2 linked regions of the Styela clava genome follow. The protein of the gene in region 2 purifies or fractionates together with the protein of the main gene of each other region. This does not show direct contact. Links are inferred from orthologs where the notes say so. Each region holds a gene or a part of one and is shown on either strand. Other genes may lie near its edges.

Region 1 (7,768 bases), on a different chromosome or scaffold from region 2:
GTCAAGCTCAAATGGATTATCTGCACATGCAAATCTTTGACCAAACTTTAGTCCTTATTATCAGTTGCAATGACGTCATATACAACATCGATTTGACAGTATACAGGAGATTTCATAGCTAGTTTTCATGACATCTCATTAAATGGCCACCACATTGAGAATTGCACTACTGCAATTGATATTCTGTGAAACTCCAAATTTCTAACATTTCTCCCAACTGAAACGCATTATACAAATAAAAACGAACAAACATTTCAAATTGCTATTTACATATCAAATAACATTGCTTCCCAAACTAATTCTTCACGATGACAGCTATAAGAAATCAAAGACGATACCAACAATTAAAAACCATTGACACTACTTACACAAAGGAGATGCTTGCCTATCTTGTGTTAAAAGATAAAACAATCACAAAAATTACATTTGAGATTGAAGGACGTTCATTGGTAAGAGAAATCAAATACAGATATTGAAATTCAACTCCGTAAAGTGGTCAATAAAATTGCAAACTACATTCAATAATGTGTTATACCAGTCAATTCAAGCCTGTCAAAACAAAAGTCAATGACGGCAATCTTCAATCAAACTAAAACTAGAAATGGGTATCTATTTCTCAAGCATGATTGAAGATAGATCGTTCCATAATTCATGCCTAGTATCTTCGCTCCAATATTTATGTCTTGCCAGCTTGTTTCCGAAGGAGAATGTAGATTTTTTCTTTGATCCACTCTTTGTTGAATGGTGCGTATGTCTGGGTAGATTTTTGAAATACTAGGCAACAGAGATCAGCAAGTTCATCGATGAAATCAAACAGTTGACTGATGTCGTAAGTAATTGAAGGGCAATTGGGATTGATTCGCTTGAGATGTTCTTCATAGATCTTGCACACACCTAGAAATGTAAAATTATTTCAAAATAAAAATATTTTTGGAAAAACACATGCTAACATATTAGTACTATGTGATTGATATTTTCAATCTGTTTTATGTGAGTGAAATACACGCATACAAAAATGGACAGGTAACTGAAGTGTAGATTTCCAGCGTAATGCTTTCACCTTTGATATTGAGTAATTAATTTTATATTCTCACATTTATCCTGTGTTAACAGTAAACACATATCAGTATATAGTAACAAACCATATTTAAACGAACAAGTTTTTAATTTGAATTTTGGGTTAAATCTAGTTCAATTATAATAATTTTCCCATTATAAGCTGATATGAAAAAGTTATCTATATATTTTACAATTTATTCATCAAGGACATGCTATGAAAAATTAAAATGAATTCACATATTTGACCAGACATTTGGTTCAATAAAACAAACTCTATTTGTCTCTGGGAAGAGATCGTCTGGCATAACTGTAGTATGTAACTGTAGATGTGTCAGATCGCGCCATGCCTGTCTCAATAATACTTTTAAACCATAGCGACGTGCGCCGGCCAGCGTATGACCAAAATTGCAGTATTGTACTAAAAACTCTCAATTGCTATTTTTTTTTTTGGAGGTTATATTATTTTTTCTAAGGAAGGAATCCAATGGTGTAATTTTTTTGGTCTGCGCTTTCTATTCGTTCACTGCACAGTGGCTGTTCGTGCCAAAATGAAAGCCCAGACAGTCTAGTAAAAGAGGGGTTTGCACTCACTGGTATAATTGATGTCTTTTAATGTGGGGGCTATTCTCGACCGTCATACTGGTTTTTTTTTTTTAAATTAAATTCTCTTCTTAAAACATTAGTTTCCTAGATGTTTTGTCCTTTCTTGATGTATCGCTGTGTTTTTTTATTTAAATATCAATGTTCATTATATATGAACATTATAAAGACGAGAAACAATTATTACAATTCTTAAGTACTGGTATTTAGGCATAAAATTGATATGGCGTTCTGGAAATTGTCGAAATGCACCGGAAACTATTTTTGAGATTTCTAATACTGATAGGCCTACTTAATTCAAAGCATGAAACCATCAAGCACCATTTTCAGAAAATATTTGCTGTCTTATATGAATTATAAGCACAGTAGTTCGTATTGTATTCTGATCTGTGACTCCTGGACATCAATTGGACTTTGTATTGGGGCATTTATATAGGATAGGATTTACATATTTATCCCGGGGGGGGGGGGGGGAGGAAAGCCGATAAGATGGCTTATCAATATGGCGAACCACGGCCTCTCGTCCGGTTACCATTCCAAGTCGGGTATGGGATTAGTTTTATTGTTTGTTTTCGGAAGCATGGACTTGGTGGTGGAGGAAGCCGTAACCGACCAGCGGTTACGTGAACCACCCAACGACGGCGAGGAGTCCAGCAATCCTCTCGCACATAACCATCTCTGCATGGGATTCGAACCTGCGAACCCACGCAGAGTAATTAGAGGTGCGGTGGTGAGCGTATTCCTAACGCTTAGCCCGTTGAGCCACACCGCCGCGCAATTTGGGGCATTTATATTGGGGTCTCGTGTAGTTCCATACCTAACGTAGTTATGGCGTAGTCAGATGGCAGTTAGGATTGACATATCGAAAAATTGTTACCGGTATGCTACGCTCACTAGAAGTATGTTAGGTACGGTAGTACCGGTACGAAACTACATGAGACCCTTATACCGGTATTGTTGGTAGTCATGGTTTTTAAGCATATTAGCATTCAATAAACAGACACAATACAATAAAACAATTGATAATAACGACTCGTTACGAATTATTGAAACTGACAATGTATGCAGGTCACATTACGGTACCGTACCACATTCAGACATTATGTACTGATATGATATGTACTGATATTAGGATACTCACCCTCCATGCATTCATTCACCGATTCGTAGTCTGAATATGTCCGCCCCTCAGGCTTTTTCGTTGGCTGAACAAGAAGTATTGTGTGAGACATTTTAAATTTTCTAAAATCTGCTACGAGGAGAACAAAACCGCCTATTCCAGTATTCGCACGCAAGGAATCGACAGCAGCAGAACCCAGTCACCAGTCAGATAAGCAAGCGCCGTTTTGTCAGATTATCATATTTCAGACAAACCTAAACTACCGAATTTCATACAAATGTGTTCCGTGCGCGATGTATTTGCCCCGTAACTATGGATGTTTTCCCGAGCATCGATTTCCCTGTTATTTCCGTAACAATTACCAATCAGCAAAGAGTCAACAATGACGTAACAATTGCAATTTATGCCGCCGCTCAGACATTTCTTTCGACTAGACTAGACATATATATTCAAGCGTAGTTGTAAACATCGCCTCTTTTTAGTATAGTTCCAAAAAATATTTGTGAATCAAAAATAATTATTTAGGATAGAATAGGATTTACATATTTATCCCGGGGGAGAGGAAAGCCGATAAGACGGCTTATCCATATGGCGAACTACGGCCTCTCGTCCGGTTACCATTCCAAGTCGGGTATGGGATTAGTTATATTGTCTTTTTTCAGAAGCATGGACTTGGATAGAATGGATGGACTTGAAAGCATGGATATTTGTTATTATGTCTTCCCAACGACTAACATACCGTCTTTCAGGATCTTTAGTTTTATCAAAAATTGATATCGCAAGGTAGCAGTACATGTAAGCGGCACGTGGTTCAATCCCCGTTGACCCTATGTCTAATGGGATCCTATAGATAGTCCAATGATTTTCGCCATTTTGTGCGTGCAAACTAGATCACATCTTCACAATTTTGTCCCAAGTTGCTGAAAAGAACTGACAGCTAATTGAAAAAAGTCTTCGCCTTTCTCTATTTTGTCTTTATTTGGAAAGGGTCCTGTTTTGAGACAATTGAACACCTCAAAGAAGCATACAAAATTAGGTCTGGATGATCAATGTATAAATGATAATGCTGTTCTGGATTTCCAGCTATATCTTCAAATAAGTCCAAAAATAATAACATATCCCATACCAGTGTTAACATCAATGACGATTTTATTTCATTGGTTGTAAATATTGATGATTGTCACTGTGTTAATACTGGGTTAAGACTGGGTCTTATTTCAATCTTTCTCCGAAAAATAACACTAGGGCTTATTTTCATTTTCAAAAACAAAATTACAAAGTAGAGAACTACGGGATTTTCAAGTATACAAAACATGAAAACCGATATCCATTAAATCATAAATATAGCGTTTTTATTCAAAATAACTGCAAAACATAGATTATTAATCATTTTAAACGTGTAAGCGAGATGTCTTGCTATCGACTAGGTCAAAAAAAAAATTGCGTCATTGACTAGGTCTTATTTTAAGAGTCGGGCTTATATTAAAATCGTTTTTAAAATTCGGACTGGGTCTTATTTTCGGGGAAGTTCAGTAGTTCACGCTTGCAACAATCATGCTTTAAAACCAAGCAGGGGCGGTACGATTCAGCCTCCTACTCTTAATTTGTGATTTACCGCATAAATCTTTGACGAATGTTTTCTTTGGCATGTAAAATTTTGAATAGGATAAAGATAAACTGTTCAACTTTATCAACGGTTCAACCATCTTGAACAATCAAGATTAAACTAACAAACCTTGTACAATATATCACAAGAGCAGCTAGTTGGTCAAGGCAAACGAAGAGCATTTAAACACTGCGGAATTTGAACAAAATCGGCACAATGCTCGAATTACATGCTCACTTATTTGAAAACCCAAAGCGTCCTTGTGGTTCCATTTCCATTCCTGCCAATATTCCTATCGGGCGAACATTTTTATTAACAAATGGCGATTAAAGAGTTTTCAAGGCAGTGTTCCGTGGGAGACATTACAAAATACGCACAATCAAAAAACTTGAAGAGGTACTGTCCTAATCTCACTGCTGCAAAAGACTTAATTATGTAGATTGCACAATATATTTCAAAAGCACATTGGTAAAACTTTGGGTAGTCCTTGATCAAGATATCTTTTAAATTGCTGAATTGAGAATTATCGGCGATTTGTACAAATACAATCAGAATAAGTACTGGTCTCTAAAAATTTGATCAGATATTAACGATGCCTTGTAACAGTTGCAACTTGGCAAAAGGAGATTTGTAGATAGAATGTACATTAATCATTATATAGAAAAATTTAATAAGATTTTGTTTCTAGCGCATTTATTGATCATATTATAGCAGAGTGGCAAATGAAAATGAATATATTATCTGAGGCGACAGAAGCCTATGCCTAACATAAGTATGATCACTTTCAAAATATATCAACCACCAATTCAATGAAAATGATGAAGAAAAAATTACGTTCAATTACCGGTAGGTTTTCCTCAATAAAAACTGTTCTGGAACTGGGAGAGAATAACTGAACCAACAGGCCTGTGTTGAACAGATGATACCCAATTAACAATGTGTGTTGATTTGAAATTCATGTTGCACATTTTACATTTCATAAATCATATAATATCAACATTCAAAAATATGTCTTAAACAGTGCATGTATATGATTATCGATAATACGCAGATAATAAAAATTTCCTCACTTCACACCTTGATAAAATTAACTTCTTCACTCAGTAATACAGAGATGCCATAAAAAGTAGAAGCAAAGATGGATATAATTTTGAATTCTGTCGGAATATTTCATACAAAATCGAGGTCTTCTATACCATTTCTATATACGAAGACAAATGTATTTATATCTTCAAGAGTACTTTCGTTGGCACATTTTAAAACAGTAAAAATAAAGCACACCAAATAAAGCATAAGCCATTTGATACATTTCTACCTTTGGCGTGACCCAAAATGAATATTTTGATTGCACATAACACTATTCAATACGGTTTCACAATCTCTCGAAGACGTTCAAATTCTAAGTAAAGAGTATGTTATATAGACACGATTTGGGGGGGGGTCGGTAGGTGTTTTTAGGTATGACCGAATTGCCCCTAGGGATTGTCACAAAATGACTTGCAACTACGACCTTTGCTCTTGAATATTATTCTCCTAATTGTGCTTAATATAAATAATTCAGGAAATTTTTTATTTCAAAATGGTAGAAAATCGCATGGCAAACAATCAAATCGCAACGCATGACAATGGCTAAAACATTCCCACTCGGATAATTCGGCATTTAAAATTTGAGTATTATTGCAACTGATACTGCATACATGAAACAATGTTGACCAATACCACTCAAACGCTAAAAATCATGACCAGCTTTCAACATAACCAGTCCAATCTACAGGAGGAGCAAGATAAACTCTTCTACCTCTGAAAATAGTGGTTACAATACCCATATATGCTGTCCTTGGCACCCCTTTTTTAAAATCGGACATAAGTCCAAGCTCCTTAGCAAAAGCTTTAAAAGTATGTGACATTGTGTATTCAATTCGAACTTCACGAGAGTCTGGATCTTTATTTTCTTTAAGATCGCTGATTCGAAACAGTGGAAGGTTGTATACTTTATCTTTGAAAGATCTTGAAATATAAAAAAAAAGAAATGCAAGTCTACTAATCATGAATAAAGAGAGGAAAAACTCTAAAATGAGGTAGGAAATTATTGTCAAAACACATGATTTAGAATCGTGTAGAAAAAGAGTTTTTTTTGTGAGCTATTAGTCAAGTATAACATCACACCAGTTGGGAATTATATACAGATTAATATTCAATTCGGAGAAACCGCATATATCTAAATGCACAAAAAAAAACAAAGCCTGACCACTTAGACAACGAATTAGCGTAAGTATATGGCTTCTGCATGTCAGAATATTGTTGCATGTTAGATTTTAATTGATGCCATTTCGGCAGAGGGTAGAACAGTACAGCTTTTAAATTATTTCACAAATATAATATAAAGATTAGTCGGAATGTTATCAGACAAGCAAATATAAAACACATCTCCCTAACCGTTGGTTGGTAATTACTAATAGAGCGGCTTGACAAAACATTACTTACTATCTTATACATTCATAATTAATATAAAATAGAACCTTTGAGCTTGAATAGACTTCAATAAGGTAAAAACATACTTATCATAATTATCTTTAACGAGGTACGAGAGATCTTTTGTCGACCAGTCGACTGGAAATTCATTTAACTTGATATATTTCAAGTGAGTATCAAAGAACTGTCCAGCACTGACCTGTACAAACATAAAGCTCAATTTACTCACAATGGAAATAAAATAAATGAATAATGAATAGGATCTTATTAGTAGAACAATACTGGCTTATAGGTACTTACAAACACAAACTTATAAATAAACAAGGAAGCAATATTAAAATATATGGACACAAAGGCTAAATGACCTCATTGCTGTATGAATGTCCGCGAAATTCCAACAATAACTTAAAAGTATTGAACTGAATGATATATGAAGGTGTGCCCATTAACTATAAAAATCAGCAAAAATTGGGGCAAAACATAAAGACCCAAAGGACCCAAAAAAATACAATAAACAGTAGCGTTTTAGAACTATAATAACAACCTTAAAATAACAACCACACCAATTTAGCAAAAGACCCATGAGTTCAATATGCATTTGATAATTACCCCTTTTCTTCCAAATGTTGAAGTTCTTGATACCTCAGGCCTTATGCACGATCTTCCTTTCCTTTGTTCAGGTTCTCTCATCCAGTCATCCCAAAATGCCTGTGGCCATTTGGAAACCAATTCTTCTTCCCATAGACTTCTCTGAATATATAATATTTTGATTTTAATAAAATATAAAGCCATACTGTCCTTAACAGAGGCCTTTTTAGTGACCTTAATAAATTCAAAATTAGTATCAAAGTATATCACAAGATTCATATTTTTAAAAATACGACTCTTATGAGTCAAATATGACTCAGAAA
Region 2 (5,849 bases):
GCAATATCACATAAAAAGAAATTTTATTATTGATAGCAGCAGAACCATGATTTCTCTTTAATGGTTGAAGACTTTAAAATTCTTCTTCTTCACTTCATTACGGCATCCTCAGTCTAGGAGTTGATTAACTTCAAATGTTAGTGTCCATAATTTACTCATCTTCATACAAGCTTCTTAGGGCAAACATCTTTATACCTGTGGTAGTGTTTGCTTATGAATAGCAATTTACAAATTGCTCAATAGTTTGTGTGTGTTTTCATATGTCATGCAACAATATCTGTATCAATCATAGCAAATAAGCCGTGGACTTGCATTCCATAAATTACCACCACAGGTATTTGAAGCAAGATATTCAGAGCCCAAAGAATGATTGCAAGTCACAAAATTCCGCATCCAATCTTCTCCTGAAATATGTTCAAGATTACTTCGTCATTATTTCAGATGTCGATAGATTCGATTCCACCTCAAAGAACTAGGTATTCTCAATGATACAATATTCTAAATACAACTCTAAAAATGAATTGCGAATGCATTACAATTGTCCATTCATTTATCACAAGCAATAATATACCACCACCAATCACCTCTATAAACATGTTATCAAAAATAATTGTAAATGCATTTCAACAAATGAAGCACAATAAATTTTGAAAACCAGAAATAAGATCGGTCTAAATCTTGAAATGGAATAACATAAATGTAGTATAAAATATGTGTCAAACTAATTCATCATCAAATTTTTGGAAACAAGAATTTTGTACAATTTCTCCATTTAAAGACAACTAGACATTGGCCCAAAACTTAATTCAAATTCAGAAAAGTTTTCAAAACAGTTCCTAAAATCTGTCATTTATGTGGTGAAAAATTCCATAATTTAGCAAAAAAAAATAGGAATGCGACAGTTTTGCTGTTTACAAAATCAATTTAGAATACGGACAGCAGAGAAATACAAAAAAAACCATACACAAATGTCTACACATTGCCTATATACCAAGTAATCAAGATTGTAGATAGCCAGATGAGAAAAAATGATTATTATTGCTTTTCTAATTTAAAAGACAAGACTATTGACAGCCATCTTTTTGTAATGGATTATTTGGTATAACCCACCTTGAATCGATATAAAATTCTGAAACTCACACACGCACAGCAGTGGTTAGACCAACTCGAATAACAAATGTTACAAAAAGGATGGCGCATAGATGCCTCCCTCGAATGAAGAAACCATAGTATCACATGATTGTTCTTGGATTCAATTGTTTATTTCGGCCATGTAGCTGTCCAACTCAGCATTCATTGCACCTTTTGTTTTAGTCATATAACTGTCAAGTTGTTCATCAAGTTTGTCTTTGTCTGCAGGTTCTCGTCGATTAGCTCCACCTCTTCCTTGACGACCTCCCCGACCTCTGCCACGACTTATGCCACGCCCTCTACCTCTCATACCCGTTCCACGCCCTCTACCAGTTCTCGTAGGACGAATAAATCCACGTCTTCCTGGATTGCGGCCTCTATTTAACGAATTGCCGCGAGGACTGGGAAACCCTCCACGACCACGACCACCTCGAACGAACTGTCCACGGCTTTGAAACCTTCCGCCTCTTATTCCCCGTCTTCCTCGTGCTGGAGGACTTCCTAATCTGTCACGAATCGACACCGGCTTATTATCAAGCGCAGCAGCAACTGCTGGCCGTCTTTCCATTTGTTGTGCGAGTCGACGATTCTTTTCACTTGCCATTCTCTCATTGGACATTTGAGCTCGCACAGTTTGGGAAGTTGTTCGTTGTGTTTTCATGATCGTAGAAAAACGGTCATTAAGACTGACCTTGGTTGAGCTTTTGAGAACGATTTTGGCAGGTGGGTTGGACGCCATTCTACTTCTGGAGTATACGCCAAAAATAACTGGATAATAAGTAACAAAACTCTAATCGTCACTAAACTATCTCATTCCAAGCGGGTCAATAATTCAACTTTAAATCTTACAGTACACACAATTCTGCAAAATATTGAGAAAATAAATCTTGTCCAAGTAAATACACAATAATATCTGGCAATGAATAAAATTAGTATAATAATTAGGCTATATATATATATAAACAAATCTTCTGCAAAAAATAGAGCGAAATTTTTTCATTTTTTGCCGCTATTCTAAGCAAGGCTCCATTTTTTCGATTATTTTGATTAGGCCAGATTCGTTTCCCAGAACAATTTTGCAATATTGGTATCAGTAATTATAAGTCCGTAAGTGGCTGAAATTATTTGAGATTTAATGAGATTCCCAATGATTCCATGATTATAATGCAAACTTAGCAAAGAAAACAATGTGGTAATTTTATGAATAAATCAATGACATCTGCAAACATGATGTCATCACTGCTGACTTTTCTAATTCATTAATCAATGTATGCCAAAATCACTCTCATTTGATTATACTTGCACTTGCTCTCGGAGAGCCCGTAAAAGTGACAGACATCAAACATGGTAATCTCAGCCGACATATTCAGAATAAGTAGACGATGAAACCTCACAACGAAATCTCATTAATGCACAATTTTCGCGTTTTTCATCTCTACTATAAAAGTAACATCTGAACATATAATAATCATTGGTGCCAACTTACTGGCAATAGGGTGGCGTAGCCAGTCTGCGGTCGATTTCATTCAAACCGCTATGAAACAAAAACCAATATTTCTAACCTGGTAATTTTTTCACAGTAGGTGCATGGGCATTTCTTCTACACGCTAAACCTCGAATTAACTTTCTACGACCAAAGTACGACACTCTGAAGACCTATTTGCGACCGAACGACCAGTTTGCGACCACAAATTTCAAGCCTTGAACATCATTTCTGCTGCGTCGAGACTAGGGCATACGCAGCCATGCGTGAAAAAAATTAGCTTCTAATTGCATTTCTGACCGTCATATATTTTAAGAACAAGGTTATTTCGAACAAAACTCGTCAAATTATAAATAAAGCACCGCATTACAGCAATCAAACAAACAAAAACACGGTGGTCGCGAATTGGTCGACAATGCTATTATCGACGTATTGGAAATGCGCACCCTCCTATTCCCCCTCCTTTGAATGTGGAAACGTAAAACTTTAAAGATGGTTGAAAGAAACAGAACTCTACCCACCTGCCAAGTTTCATCTTTTTATCTCTTATATTTGTATGGATTTTCAAGCTTTTTCAAAGGGACAATGGGTAGTTGGCGACATGGAAAAAGGGTCCGTTTTTTTTCCTCGGTCGGGTTTTCGGTAGTAACTTTTTTGTTTGTGGCCGCATTTTAGTGTAATTTCGCAGAGCTACGAGGGATACGGTAAGTGGACGATAACGCGTGAGAAATATCGTCTCGGTTCGTTAATTTTTTCGACATTAATTTAATCGATGAAGTTGATGGTCGCAAATAGGTCTTGGCCGCAAAGTGGGTAAGCCACCCTCTATTCCAATTACCATACTCCATTTTACATAGACAATTTTTAGCGGCCTACGATTTCTCTCGAAAAAATGATGTGAACCAAAAGCAAGGCATTAAATGTTATAACATTATTTGTGATAAATTTCGATCAAATATTATTAGTTTACTATTAAAATGTATAATGCGAGTCCTAATTTAGCATATCAGTATCTCTCTATCTAGGGATCACATGAATTTCGAACAATTCTAGAATTTTATTGTCCTGCTGTCCTGAGGAATGCCTGTTAGGTATCAAATAAAAACCAATGCTCAGGTAATTTCCAATAAATACCAAGACAGTAATATGTTTGAAATTTTGCTTAAATTTCAATCCAGCAATGTCTGGGGTCTAGTATAGTTTGGTACCACAAGTACTTCCAGTGGGCGTAGCATAACGAATTTTGCATATGTTATTCCTAACCCCCACCTGACTATGCCATCCAAAAATTACGTCACCACGACCCAGACTGGATTCCATGGCAGGTGCACGCCCGAGGGCGCTAGCGCTCCGCAAAAATGCACGCGAGCGAAAACAATTTTGCACGCCGAAAATTTGCAATTGCTCACCAATGTAAATCGGTTTAAATGGTTTTAAAGTCAATAATCCAGTAATATAAAGATGCCAAAATATTATAACTCCACAATTGTCGACAAATACCAGCTTGCAAGATTTGGTCTGATCGAAATATTGCGAAGCAAAAAGACCATGGACCTTTCCCCAACCTTTGAACCGCGAAAAATTCCTCTCACGTCCTTTTTTGCATCTTGCTGATTGGCCAATGTCACGAAGTAAACAAGGAAGTCGATGCTCGGGGAAAGGTCCATATCGTGTTGAATGATAGGAAATATGAATCCCGTGAGAATAGTTATGGACGAAAAGATCGCCTCCGCACCAATGGCCAAGTACGGCTCTGATTCAGCGTATTTTTCATACAATAATTTTACACGAATGTACTGAACAGTACCGGTATTTAAAGTTGCTCAAACACTCCCAAAATTAGTGACAAAGTATGAAAATAATGTTTGGGGTCAAAGGTCAAACGTCCATTTTGCTCTAATTTGACGTATTTTTTATCCATTAATTCTACGTAAATACACTACCAAAATTAATGACAAAGTATGTCCATTTTGCTCTGGTTCAACGTATTTTTTATCCAATAATTTTACACGGATGTACTGAACAGTACCGGTATCCAAAGTCGCACAAACACTCTCAAAATTAGCGACAAACTGTAGAAATAATGTTTGGGGTCAAAGGTCAAACGTCCATTTTTTCTGTGATTCAACGTATTTTTTATCCGATACCGGTAATTTTACGCGGATGTATTGAGAGGTATCTGATGTCAAAGTCAGTTGCACGCGAGTGCAGTTGTTTTGCACGTCGTGAGCTATAATTGCACGCCAGGAATTCTTATTTGCACGCGGGAATTTCTGATTGCACGCCCGATTTCTCGTTCAAAAAGGCCATGAAATCCAGACTGGACCACGACGTCATCATCACGTCATACTCATAGGGCTTGTCAAAGTATAATTACGATCGCCCAAAATGGCATCTGCGCCGCTGATAACGAACTCGCTAACGCCGGCGATCTCTCTGGTATCGGGATCGTTGTGACGAAAAAACGAGAGAAATAGCTTGCTCGATTTCGGATGATCGTCTGCGCGTTTTGGACTACCTTCCGCATACTTTGGTGGGCCTTATTACGCCACTGTGACGTCGAAATGACGTAATTTTTCGGTGACGTAGCCAGGTAGGGGTTACTGGGTTAGGATTGACATATGCAAAAATAGTTGAGCCAGGCCAACTAGAAGTGCATGTGGTACTAAACTATACCAGACCCAATGTCTGAATGTGGTGGCACGATCTTCACATTTGAATAACAATAAAAACAGAAAAATAGAACTGTAGAATGGGATTCAGCATTCTCAATTCAAGTATTCTAGAATAGAAAATTATTCTACATCCCTACACTCACTCAATCCAACACTTGCCACCTACCTATCCATGTAATCTCAACAAAATTTCCTTCAAATGGCTCCAGGCTGGTCCACCCGTCTGAGATTGAACCATAGACAGATAGAAGTAGACTATTTAAATTTTATATTTGCCAATGGCCGAATACTACCGGTACTGTACTAGGTGTGGTATAATAAAAAATTATCTTAGTTTACTCATATCTTCACATTTCATATTTTTGTTTTAACTATACTGGCATCGCCCCCGAGGTAAATAATCCTAAAAATGGTGTGAGTACTGTTGAACATTTTAAGCATCAGAGCTTTCGAATTTCAAAGTGACTACGGTACCGGTATTTGTCGAATTTGCAGCACGAGCGCTAGCATTGCGGATATCCCCAACCCTTGACCCTATAATATTTTCCAATATTGAAATA

Evidence for each region. The genes of interacting proteins can lie anywhere in the genome.
Region 1: the proteins of uncharacterized protein LOC120342097 (region 2) and enhancer of rudimentary homolog purify together in Homo sapiens (affinity purification with mass spectrometry; 3 studies listed by BioGRID and IntAct, with this or other methods). This does not show direct contact. The link is inferred for Styela clava from reciprocal best matches to the Homo sapiens genes CHTOP and ERH.

The regions. Positions count from the first base shown.
Region 1 is NC_135254.1:14,324,839-14,332,606, forward strand, and holds enhancer of rudimentary homolog, read right to left. Parts: upstream 3,007-7,768; 5' UTR 2,892-3,006; coding exon 2,801-2,891; intron 895-2,800; coding exon 677-894; 3' UTR 249-676; downstream 1-248. Other genes in the region: alpha-1,3-mannosyl-glycoprotein 2-beta-N-acetylglucosaminyltransferase-like, read right to left, coding at 6,122-6,392, 6,944-7,056, 7,467-7,607. UniProt on the Homo sapiens protein: May have a role in the cell cycle.
Region 2 is NC_135252.1:15,318,180-15,324,028, forward strand, and holds uncharacterized protein LOC120342097, read right to left. Parts: upstream 2,025-5,849; 5' UTR 1,871-2,024; coding exon 1,253-1,870; 3' UTR 510-1,252; downstream 1-509. UniProt on the Homo sapiens protein: Plays an important role in the ligand-dependent activation of estrogen receptor target genes. May play a role in the silencing of fetal globin genes.